Bombyx mori: one gene and its partner. The protein of the gene in region 2 purifies or fractionates together with the protein of the main gene of each other region. This does not show direct contact. Links are inferred from orthologs where the notes say so. Each region holds a gene or a part of one and is shown on either strand. Other genes may lie near its edges.

Evidence for each region. Proteins that work in one complex are often made in the same cells at the same time.
Region 1: the proteins of nuclear RNA export factor 1 (region 2) and ran GTPase-activating protein 1 purify together in Homo sapiens (co-immunoprecipitation; 3 studies listed by BioGRID and IntAct, with this or other methods). This does not show direct contact. The link is inferred for Bombyx mori from reciprocal best matches to the Homo sapiens genes NXF1 and RANGAP1.

The regions. Positions count from the first base shown.
Region 1 is NC_085117.1:345,488-352,014, forward strand, and holds the start of ran GTPase-activating protein 1, read right to left. Parts: upstream 4,129-6,527; 5' UTR 4,117-4,128; coding exon 3,876-4,116; intron 3,559-3,875; coding exon 3,371-3,558; intron 3,056-3,370; coding exon 2,921-3,055; intron 2,290-2,920; coding exon 2,137-2,289; intron 1,524-2,136; coding exon 1,354-1,523; intron 335-1,353; coding exon 232-334; intron 1-231. Other genes in the region: cytoplasmic aconitate hydratase, read left to right, coding at 6,306-6,318. UniProt on the Homo sapiens protein: GTPase activator for RAN. Converts cytoplasmic GTP-bound RAN to GDP-bound RAN, which is essential for RAN-mediated nuclear import and export. Mediates dissociation of cargo from nuclear export complexes containing XPO1, RAN and RANBP2 after nuclear export.
Region 2 is NC_085124.1:4,528,881-4,535,305, reverse strand, and holds the start of nuclear RNA export factor 1, read right to left. Parts: upstream 4,135-6,425; 5' UTR 3,750-4,134; coding exon 3,692-3,749; intron 3,477-3,691; coding exon 2,883-3,476; intron 2,560-2,882; coding exon 2,369-2,559; intron 1,934-2,368; coding exon 1,824-1,933; intron 399-1,823; coding exon 362-398; intron 241-361; coding exon 1-240.

The sequences.
Region 1 (6,527 bases), on a different chromosome or scaffold from region 2:
TCTGTCATGTCCTTCTTCAAACGAGGTTTGTAGAGGGTCCTAAACGATAGGCAGCGGCTTGGCTCTGCCCCTGGCATTGCTGAAGTCCATGGGCGACGGTAACCAGTCACCATCAATTGGGCTGTATACTCGTCTGCTTACAAAAGCAATAAGATAAATAGTGATTGCAGAGCTGGTACGTGTGAGAAATGCAAATGATTGTTATATAATTTAATATATATACATACGTACCTCTAATAGCAATGAGTTTCCCTTGAAAGCTTTAGCCAAAGCTCTTGCTCCTCTGCTCTTCAGGAGGCAATCACCAAAGTTAATACTTTTAAGATTCTTTAATCTGTAACAAACAACTTTTAATGCTGTAATGGAATAAGAAAATGGTCTGTAGCGGTGACTCTGGGTGCATAGAAAAACCAATCTTACATATAAGTTTTAAAATAACATTCGGACTGTCTATTTACAGAGCTTGATGATCTGAAGTGGACCGTTAATAAACATGACAATTCCAAACTTAAATTCAACTCAACAGTTTGTAGAAAATTGCATTTTTATAGTATTGGAACGTCAATGGTTAAACAGACTTATTGTGTAATTGACATGTTACCGAACACATAGGCTTAAGTTTGTAATCTATACTATTATAATAATATTATAAAGAGGAAAGATTTGTTTGTTTGTTTGTTTGTTTATTTGTTTGTATTGAATAGGCTCCGAAACTACTGAACCGATTTCAAAAATTCTTTCACTGTTTGGAAGCTACACTATTACCGAGTGACATAGGCTATAATCTTTTTGAAAAAAAAATAGGAATCCTTACTAAAACTCCAATAATGTAACCCAAGGTGTAAAAAAATTACCTAAAATATTCTTTACATCGCGTGCCCTGCGAAAACCATTGATGATAGAATAAAATAATGTCCTACGACTTTGTAGAACACATTATTATTCACAAAAAGTGTCCCAACAGCATATGTCTAACTATTATAGTTAAGCCGCAATGTGGCGGGTAGCCATCATACAACGCAAGATAATTGACAGATGCCTGAATCTCGCTTACGACATTTTCAAGATAAAGCGCATATATACAAGTTATAGTTATAGTTATAGTTGTGGTTTTCACTATAAATACGATTGTGCCGTAATTTTAACAGTAGTATACATACAGACCATCTGGAATACTACAGCAATAAGTGTTCTTTTATTTAAAAAAATAAAACAATGTCAAATATTTGTTAAATATTGTTGACATTTTTGTTAAAGACCTGAGCGGAGCCGGAGCGGGCCGCTAGTTCGCTAAATAAAATAATAAGACAATAATGACATAGAAGTTGATAATTCACTCAGTGCTTACTTTACCTTGGCAGGGCACCGGCAATGGCTTCAGCACCTTTAGCCCCGATAGTATTGTCATTTAAATTAAGATGGTTCAGTGCCGGGTTGTGTTTGAATGCTTCCGATAGAGCCGTTATACCGACATGGTATATACCGTTCTGTGGCATAGCTATCTCTTCTAAGGAACCCATTTCCTGTGAACAAGTGTACAATATTTTATTTATATTGCATAAACAAATGAACACCTGAGAGATGCCCAGATCTAATCAGGTATATTTTTATCACCTTTGTAAGGAAATTATCAACCGCTTTAGCAAATCAGCTGCTTTTTGTTATGTATTTGTCTGGTACTGACCCATTGAAAAGAAAACTAATCTATCTATTTATATAAAAATGAATTGCTATTTGTTAGTCTCGCTAAAACTCGAGAACGGCTGGACCGATTTGGCTAATTTTGGTCTTGAATTATTTGTGCAAGTCCAGAGAAGGTTTAAAAGGTAGATAAATATGAAAATGCTCGGAATGAAATAAAAATTACAATTTTGTTTTTACTTTGATGTGTCACTCGTCGGATAGATTTCTTTTGTTTGTTTTAAGTTTATTTTATAGAAAAGTTTAGGTATTTTATTTATCGATTGAGGCACTACGAAGTCTGCCGGGTCAGCTAGTAAGTTATAATATTTTTCATTTCAATCAATGTTTCTATGGCTGACGTTTTTTTTCTCAGGTTCATATTCTTTATTCAGTAATGGAAATACTTTAGACTTGGAGCCTGGGGTCGAGATAGCTTGATAGAAATGAACACACCTGAAAAACTTTGGCCAGCGCGGTGGCACCGTCATTCTCCAAACGATTCCTCCCGGCTATGAAGACCCGTAGTCTCCGCTTCCTACTGGAGAGTGCGCGTGCCAACAACTTACCACCGGTTATGCCAAGGCCGTTGTTGTTCAGACGAAGCTCCTGGAAACGTATTTTGTAAGCTTTATAAAGTGATTTTAATAAATACATCTGATCAGTGCTAGAAATTATAGCAGTGGGAATGAAACAAAAAAAGGGAATTTTATTATAAAGATTTTTGAGAACAATTTGATGATAAGACAAAAAATTGATTTACGTAGAGAAAGATGCAATTTTTTTATCATATTACATAGATATACATGTCTTGAGTATGGCATCAGTCAGTCTACACAAACAATAACCACTTAATGCCAGGCATGCCGAATATGTACATCCACCTATCCAGTGATAAAGATTTGATTCTTTGTGTCCCTACATAATCGCCAGAAGCCTTAAATGCGTAATAAAGTTTCACTGTGATCGGGCAAGCTAATGGAGCTCAGCTTGAGAGACTTTGCTAACATTTGCTCTAACAAGAGCATTGCTTTGTTGACTCTATCAGCAGCTCAGGATTTTAATCCACTAAGATCCGGCAAGAAACTCAATGGGTTATATGTCTGGCATTAATTGTAGATTCATTCTTCTTCTTCCCAATGAAGTTTTAATTTGGTCGGCCCATGGCATTGGTGACCTCCCACACGGTCCTGTACCATATGACTGTAAATTCATTATCAAGAGCTATTAAACAAATTACCTCTAGGTCAGAGCAGACATCACTTTGCAGCAGCTTAGCAAGACCTTCAACTCCTATTGGGCCGAATGCATTATCACTCAGGTCCAGCACAGCTAAACGAGCTCCAGCTGCTATCATGCCATCACCTAAAGCACTCTGTAAATGAAATAATCTTAATAATAAGTGATACCCCCTAGATATTGTCACCAGCCTAAATGTGGTAAATGAATACCTATCTTCAGGATTCGCTCTATACAAATGTCCTTTAGACTACAAAAACTTTAATTTGAAATTAAATTTCTTGACATTTAATAAATTCAATTGTTTCTAGTCAGCTGCTCGGCTGTGCATGTGACATTACTCATATTCATTATCAAAGATAGCCCTTATCATTAGCTAAGCTGTATAAGCGTCTGACTACAAAAGCAATAAAAAGTCCTCTTCATTTTAGATTTTGGGAAAAAGCCTTACCAAAGCTGGCGGGATCTCAGTTTTCATTCTCCCAGTAAACATGTCCGAGAATCTGGCTATCTTGAGTTCAGGGTGTGATTCTAAGGCCTTGGAGATCGCATGGGCGGCCGTCACACCCAGTGTATTGCCGGTCAACGCAAGATATTGGAGGTTCGGGCATTTATTGATCGCGTCTACAATTTGTTGTGCTGAAACAATTTAAGCTTGATGTAGGTAACACATTCATTCATTCAGTATCAAATTTGGTACTATGGCTATGATTTCAAGTCCAAATCTGATTAATATAGAAAATATACTTTATTTCCAAGCAAATTGAACAAACACGAGATCGCGTCAAATTTTGTTTTGTTTATTTTTATTTCACTTTTTTAGGTTATGTTGTAGACGATTTTTTTACATGCGCGTCTAGTGAATTTCAAATAAACAACTAGTATGTTTTATGTAATATTTGATTAGCTATGCGTGTTAAGAATTACACGGCCTTCGCTCTAGTTAATAGACCCACCATCTTTCGCGGTATCCAATTTTAGAGATTTTCCAGAAAAATCGACACCGGTTTCCGGCTGTGCGGGCTCATCAAGCACTGTGTTTAATGAATTTAAATCGAAAGTGGCCATTTTACAGTTTATGTAATAAATATAATAAATAGAAAATAAATATAACGCAAAAACGCAATTATGTACTCCAACGGATTTTTTTTCAATTATTTTGATATTGTCTGTGGTTTCCGAACATGTCAATTTCATTTGACAAAGACATAGACATTGACATTTTAATGAAACAGTGATGAGCTCGATGAACTAACCATCACTTCGTTCATTCGAATAATTCGACTTATTCGATTGATCGCTTGGTTGTTTGATTTGATCGAATATTTAATATAAATATAATTTTTATTAAATTATGTAGGTATTTAAACTTTTGCAACTAAGTTGACAGGCCTAAGCCTGTTAAGTATGAAAGGAAATCAGACCGCTATTTATATTTTACAGAATTAATATTACTTAACTCATCTTGTCGGCAATTTTCATTATTAATTCATTAAAATATAAAGAGTTAAATATATAAAAGGATGATAATTATCTTTATATCCAAAATATATATATATCTCTTTTCTTCTTGGTATAGTAACCGGCAAACATCGTGAGCAAATGACCTTGACTGCGCAGAACCGAATTTTAGATCACTTTGGTGGTGAGGGTGAGGCGCGACGGCAGGGGAAATCGTATCGAGCGCGTTATTGGTAGATCAGTCGAACCTTGCGTCCCGCACCGCGCCTTCGTTCCGCTTGCTCCCAAAAGTACGCTTGCGTACAGTGAAAAGTATATCGTTATTAATCGTTAAGTTATATTTTGTTATAATTGCTTGTTGACTTTGTTGCCATTGCTATTTGTTGAGTGTTTGTTGATTTTTTATAAAAAATACACTATGCCGCGACAAACTGGTGTAGTATTCAAAAGAAAGGGTAGAAAAATTGTGTACGACGTATATTGCTTCATTATAAAACAGGGGAAGAATGATATTATGGAAAAAGTAAAACAGACTTCGGAAGCAACAAAAACATCAGTGAGTACTGTTAGGTGCATTATTAACGAAGCTAAAGGCTCTGGCTTGCTCATCGTGCTTGGGACTCCGGGTAAGAAAAGATCAGGGAAGAAGAAAGTTACCGGAATGGATAGTTTCGTTCAATCTGTAATAAAAAGATGTAATCATAATAACTACATAACAAGCAGCGAAACTCCGTACCGTAGAAAGGCTTCGAAAATTTTAAAGAAGATATACATTTTAATGGCTCGGTATGAAGTTTACGACGAATTATGAAAGAGCTAGGCTTCAGATGGAAAAAAAAAACAGAAAATAATCGGAAGCTGGTAACTGAAAAAAGTAACATTCGATTACTACGAATCGAATATCTTCAAAAAATAATTAATTATAGACAAAAAAGAAGATCGAACCGACCGAGTCGTAAACTACACCGATGAGCCCTATGTCGACTTATCACGATGATGGCGACTCGGGTGATGAAAACAGTGATGATGATAATGGTCAAGATTATGATAACGAAAAAAAAATTACAAATACCAGCTTCGCTTCAACTGAACGAAGACCTGGCAACAGCTCTAGTTTTGACTTAATAGAAGGAATATCTATTTTACCCCAAGATTAAATTATTACAATTATTAACCTATATTTTTTGTTAATGTTCTAATAAATATATAAATAAATACATATGTTGATTTTAATAATTTAATTGCATTATGACGCAGAGTAAATAATGTTTTTGCACGTGAGTGTACCATGCGCAAACTTACCCCCACTACGTCAACAAATGCTCAAGAAGTTTGCCGGCTATTATAAGTACATAATTTTGCTCATGATTAATGCAGAGCATGGGGTAGAAACAACCGTGCCAGAACGCAGTGGGTCACACTTTGACATTCCATGAGGACGGAACGTCATTCCTTCATTCCTCTGTTGAGGGTCGCCCTTTATTACTTGATTTTTGTGTGGTCCAAAGTATGAACTTGTCAAGATCGTTATGGCGGGAACGGAATTACAGCGCCTACTAAGAGAGGCGATACTTGAAGTGGTGTCGGGAGGGGGGCTACGTCACCGCAACTCATAGCCGTCAAGTCAGTCAGTGTCAGACCATAAAAACTCGTGGTTGAATACTGTGACGTGAATTGATACAAAACCTAATCTCATTAAATACTCGATTAACATAAACTGAACCATAATCAATCTCTAGTGTTATTGGCGACGTGACTTTTCGGCTATCAACTATGGCTGGTATGTAACTGAACACTATTAATAAAAAAATTAAAATTAAAAAAAAACTAAAAAAATATTAAAATCGTATTTTAGTGTGGGATAAGTGGTTTATTTCATCTCAGTTTCGTTATCGCTAGAGTCTGCATATTATCTTATCAATGAAATGTGTCTTAAAAGTACGCTTTGACGTAAAATGCATGTTTATTCAAACAATTCTAGTGTATTCTTTTGCTTAACCTTTGCTCCTGTTTAATTATTATTCAAAGACGCGGTTATGCTATCGGCACCATAAAATTGTTAGGCCGAATTTTGACCCCAAGTTTCTTTTTTCGTGTGTACATACAATGTCCAAGTTAAGAATACTCGAAATAGTATTAAAAATGAC
Region 2 (6,425 bases):
CGTAGAATTCCTGCTGTCATTAGTTAAATAATTTGCAGCCATCGACATTGTAGCATTTTCATGGTACGCCTCTAGAAGTGGTTGCCGAGATTCCGAGTCGTATATCGCATAGTATTGAGTGAGAAACTCCCTGACAAGATCCTGACCCGCCGGGTCTACCAGGAACGATTGTTGCCGAGGGGGAAGTCCCATATCTTCAGCTACGTCGAATCCAATAGCCGGTGGAAGATCCGCGCCATCCTAATTTTTTTTTAATTTTATGTTTATTTACAATGTTGAATCAATAGGCGTGATGAGATTATATAAACTGCAACAAATAGTAAAGCATAAACATAAGTCGGAAAATAAAAAAAAGACTTACCAATCTTGTCAGCTTGGGAAACTTCTTCCGGACATCACTGGAGAGAACAAACATTATGGAAACATGTTTCAAATTTGAACTCTGAAACTCATAATCGTTAAGAAACACACAAAATGTTTTTCATTTATTGAGATTACATGATAGCAGATTTGTTAACAATAATTATTTAGATATTGAAATTTCTATTGTGAGACATCATAACATTAAGTGAAAAACTTGTTCAAAAATATCAAATGTATAATTAGGGAAAAATAATTGCTTAGTTTTTTTACTCTTTGATTTTTATTTAATGAAAATACATGTCACACAGATAAACTCTAAATAGTAGTAAACAGTTTTTGTAGCAAGTATTATTTAAACACTGTTTACATACTTTTACTTTTATAAAGTGTTGTAAACAAATGTGCTTCAATGTTGTGTTTGTGTGCATTATTTAATAAAAACTAAATAGATAATTATTTTTATTTGAATTATTGCTTAAAATTATATAATTCAAATTTAAACCTCAATATTGGAGGTAAAGAGGTAATATATACTATTTAAAAAATATATACATATTAATATAATAATATATTTCTGTCAAAAATGATTCTTTGGAACTATTTTTAGATGAATTATTTAAAAAAACCTTTCCATCTATTTGCGATGCTCAAGTTAGTAATGATGGATATCAGATGTTATTTATGCCTCTAATATTGAGAATTATTTTGACAAAAAGGTTATACGGAGTGATAGTACACAGGATGCAGGGTAACCTCAAATAAAATTAAAATAGTAAAGTAACAATAATGAGCAATAGAATACCCAATTTCCTTAGTGAAGCCCAAGTACTAATAATTTTAATATAATTTCATAACAGCAATGTACAATGGGGATGAGTCTGATTTTAAATTATTCCACATATTTGATATTATGTCTCATACCACTGCACTAAAACTCTTCCAAGATTACTAAACAGTTGGGCCATTTTTACATATAATGCTGTGAGTGACCTATTCCTAGGTAAATATTTTTAAATGTTACTATTTTGTATCAATTATTTTAATACTCTGATAAATATGTGAGTCAGGGGAATATGGAAATAAGAAGGCTCATTGTCTGTTGGGACATTTCCCAAGAAATTTTATGGAATTATCCTGCCAATTTTTTGCTATGTAAAATTATGTCTTTTAAAAAGATTAGTCAACTATAAGTATATTTTATTAAGGGATATTTTACTGATTTTGTTATAAACAGTATAGGAATATAATATATGTTATCACAAATTTAACTTATGATAAAAAACATCTTTACTCATTTCATCTACTTAAACAAGCACAATTCAGCAACAGTACTGCCACAGTTTGATTTTATATAGCTGTCAAGTTTCCATGGCTTAACGCTAATGGTAAACTGTGTTATAGGATATTCAAAATATCTTGGGGTGTGACCCCAAAGATACTGTCTACAACATTAGCGTTACCTTATGTAGATTTCGTGATCATGAAACCTGTTCACCAGTGGGTTTCCTTTGAGGTATAGCTCAACTAGCGGTAATGATCTGATTGGGTCCAGTGATCCAAGGAATGGAATCTGGAAAAGGTTTAAATGATAATTAATGTACATTATTGGTTTTTTAATAGCATTCATATATTTTTAAAGATGTCTTTCGTTTACTACATTTATTTTATATTTTACTAATGTAATGCAAATGATGAGTTAGTAGAAAAATACTTACACTACACAAAATTGAGAAAAATGTCTACCTTAACAATCAGATATAGTGCATGTGAAAACAAATTAATTGCAAAGATTGTTAGTTGGGGTATATAATAAAGAAAAAAAAAACCACAAATTTATTTGTCAAATGTAGATAGGGATTTTGTATCCTACCTAATTACTGTTAGCTTGTGGGGCTATTCAAACTATGCCTAGATAGGAATGTGCACTGAAGATGATGATATGAATATGAATCAGTCATTTGAAATTTTACACTGGTCTAAATTGTCGTAAATGTATTTGTCTTACCCTATTATCGCCCATATACAATATTTTCAAATTCTTGAGCTTTGAAGACAAAACCTTGAGATGCTGCAAACCATGAAGCTTATTATCATTTAGGTTCAAAGCTTCTATGTCTGGAATATTCTCTGCTATTATATCTATAGCAGCCAACATTATCATTGGACGGAACAGTGCACAAAATATATCTTCTAGATCTGAAAAATAGTATTATTTCAATATTCACCCAGTAAAACTATTGTCTTTACATTCTATAAAATAACTGGTTATAAATATTGTTGTTACATTGCTGCATTATAAAAGGGCAAACCAGTATGCGCTCTTAAATAGATTATAGCTTATGTGGGCCCATAAGAAATTATTCCCAAAAGTCTAGCTTATTATATCTCTAATTGAATGAAAAAGAAATTATAATATGTATTACTAAGCTGTTTACTAACAAGTTGAATTTTAGACATTGCAATGAATGTATTGTAAATAATGAATATGTAAAGCAATAACAATATAATTGGACAATCACCTGGATCAGCATGGAATTTTGTTAAATCTAATGCCTTAGTTGTAGCATTATACCTCTTCGCCATTGTCAATTTCATCTTCTCTTTCATGGCAGCGTCAATGGCCATGTTTGGAACAGCATTCCTCACAATAACAATTAACTTAAAACCATCTGACATAGTGATCTTTCTATCAGCATTATAAAGTTTTTCAGCTGTTTTGACATCATCAACATAGAATACTGCAGCATTTCCATTGACTTTATAGTAATGTGGAATGAATATGTCGGGTGAAAGAAAACCCAACAAGGCTCGGAGGATAACATCTTTTTCATGTTTTGCTCCATATGGAATGATTATTTGGTACCAAGGCAGTACACCAGGAATAAATTTCTTTTTAGTGTGTCCGTGGCTTCCTTGCGGAGCTGGAGAGTACATTCTCCCACGTCCCCTGAAAGAACTTTTCCGGACCGGTCCTTGAAGAGCAGAACTACCCATGTCAATATCATCATCAAGGAGGGCTAAAGGATTTTTCCAAGTTCGAAATTTATTTTTTCCTTTAGCTCCAGGTTTAAAACTGACATGTCTCGGCACACTATTGACACGGTCATCGTGTTCTGAAAGTATATCATTTGTAAATCAAGTATTAATAGTCAATAACTTTAAAAACTCATATATTATTCATTGGTATCATGAACTTTATGATGCATGATTTTGCCTTTATGTATTAAACATAAGTAGCGCTAACAACAATGGAATACATTATTTTTTGATAATTCACTGTAGGAACTACAAAATCACAACAGAATATAAATAAAAGTGTTCCACTTACCAAAATGGTCAGTATCAGCCTTCCAATTTCTATTCCTTCCACCGCCACGTTTTGGCATCGTGTCGAAGAAGCTTTAATCACCAGTATACAAATACCGTGAAAGTAGTTCTTTAAGGTTTCCTTATTTTCTCACATGCGTGTAGAATAGTTAACTGAGATAAAGCCAATGATAATTGAATAATAGCTTTTTTTAATTAACAACGCAAATTACAAAAGAGTTAAACAACTTTGATGGTGTAAAATTACCCTACACTCAATAAATTTTAAGTATGGTTAGTTAAATTATATATTTGGACGTTATTAGCAATCCAAATATTTCCAAAATTAATCACCAAAAACTAAATAGCGTCTCTCTTGTGAATCTTAAACCTGTTCTTTTTCAATGTGAAACAAAATGGATGGCGACATTTGTAGATTATACACCTGTATAACCTATGGATTACACTTCGTCTTTATTTTTGGCTCCGTACGGTTTGTGCATTAGCCAGCGTCAAGTAAAAGATTTTTATGTTTCGCTGTTTTAATTATTGAAAATAGTTTATGAATAATAAAAAAAACGAAGGAAGGGTCTCAAAGGAAATGTCATATTTAAAAATATAATTTTAAAAAAAGTAAGGAGTTTATTGAAAAAATGTTTATTACATATTAAAATACACTGTTTTGGAATTTATTTTTTAAAAATGACATCGTCGAAATGTAAACCGTTGCGTTCAGGGCATTCGTTTAATCGAGCACTAAAATTGCCTATGACGGCTCGGCAGGTGTTCTCCGTGATGGCTTTCGTGATAGATATTTTCTTTTAATTGTGTGTGAAAGTCGATTTGTTGGTGTAAACTTTGGATTTGATATAACCCCACAGGAAAAAGTCCATAGATGTCAAATCGGGACTGCGTGGAGGCCAACTTATGTCACCTCTCCTGGAGATCAATTTGCCAGGAAAAAATTGACCTCTGACCAGTATCCTGAAGTTTTAATTCTTGCACCAACTGAATTTGTACGGGTGCAGTTTTAAATCTTTATGCAAAATAGGGCATCACGACGATCTGTGCACGTTTAAGGCCACCGCACGCTTCTCAATTGAAAGGTTCAGATCGTCCCGAATAGACTGGGCAACACTGTCTACGTTTTCGAGTGTTCTCGAAAATCTTGGACGACCGGATTTTGGTTTTTCCAGGTTATAGTAATAAGCAGAGAAACGAAAATTATAAAAGAACGAAATACGAACCTAACATTACAAATGGTGAAAAATAAAATTTATCAAAAAAGCAAATAAGCATAAAAAATGTCCCTGACAATGACTCGTCAGGGGAACGCACATAAATAAATAAATAAATAAATACTACCATAAGACGAATTGTTGCTGAAGGCAGATCTAACAGAGATGTATTTAGTACGCAGGGCAAAAAGAGGAAAGGTGGTAAAAATACTGCGCCTTCCTTATCTTCCTCTTCTGATAAAGACTTTTTTATGGATGTGCAGTATTTGGAACCATTTTTAAGTTTTTTTTTTTTTTATTTTTTTTTTATTGCTTAGATGGGTGGACGAGCTCACAGCCCACCTGGTGTTAAGTGGTTACTGGAGCCCATAGACATCTACAACGTAAATGCGCCACCCACCTCGAGATATAAGTTCTAAGGTCTCAGTATAGTTACAACGGCTACCCCACCCTTCGAACCGAAACGCATTACTGCTTCACGGCGGAAAATAGGCGGGGTGGTGGTACCTACCCGCGCGGACTCACAAGAGGTCCTACCACCAGTAATTACGCAAATTATAATTTTGCGGGTTTGATTTTTATTACACGATGTTATTCCTTCACCGTGGAAGTCAATCGTGAACATTTGTTGAGTACGTATTTCATTTGAAAAATTGGTACCCGCCTGCGGGATTCGAACACCGGTGCATCGCTTCAACACGAATGCACCGGACGTCTTATCCGTTAGGCCACGACGACCACTAGTTCTGATAGCCTATAATTAATTTATAAATTCATGAAGAGTAATTGGAGTTTTCATCTAAATTTCGAACCCCACATTCGCCACAGTAAGATCTTCAAAAATTATCCTTGATCGTTGATTTGTTCCCTTTTTGCCATCAGATCCTGGTAGACCTATACCAAACATGAATTATATTAAAAATTATTAATTAAATTTATTGCAAGAGTGCTATCACATTGCAAGATTAGAAGACTAGTGAATTTTTCAGTTCAATCAGAAGTTGTGGAGAGTATTAAGCGGTAGGCAGCGGCTTGGCTCTGCTTCTGGCATTGGTAAAATCCATGGGCGACGGTAACCACTCACCATCAGGTGGGCCGTATGCTCGTCTGCCTATAAGGGCAATAAAAAAAAGGGAGGAGGAGGGAGGATTATTTGGTTAAAGATTAAAAACATATTTCCATTATAAAAAAATTGGGAGGATCTCGGCAATATTTATTAATTGGTAGCATTATTTTGTCTATGGCATTTTTTTGGAAAAAATTATAATGTTTAATGATTAAATCTTTTTGTGTTTATTTTATTGAACATGCTTAAAAAATCATAATCTTAGAAATGAAAATGAAACATTTTACTAAAAACCTAAATACCGCAAATAATGGTTTTAAGTCTATTCGATAAAAGAAACGAAACGTATAAAGTCGCTTTTAAAAAGAAATTGACCACAGACAACAGAAGTGCTTTTCAAGTCTGCCATGTTTTGTCCTATTTGTCGCGCTTGATCAACGCGATCGCGTTCA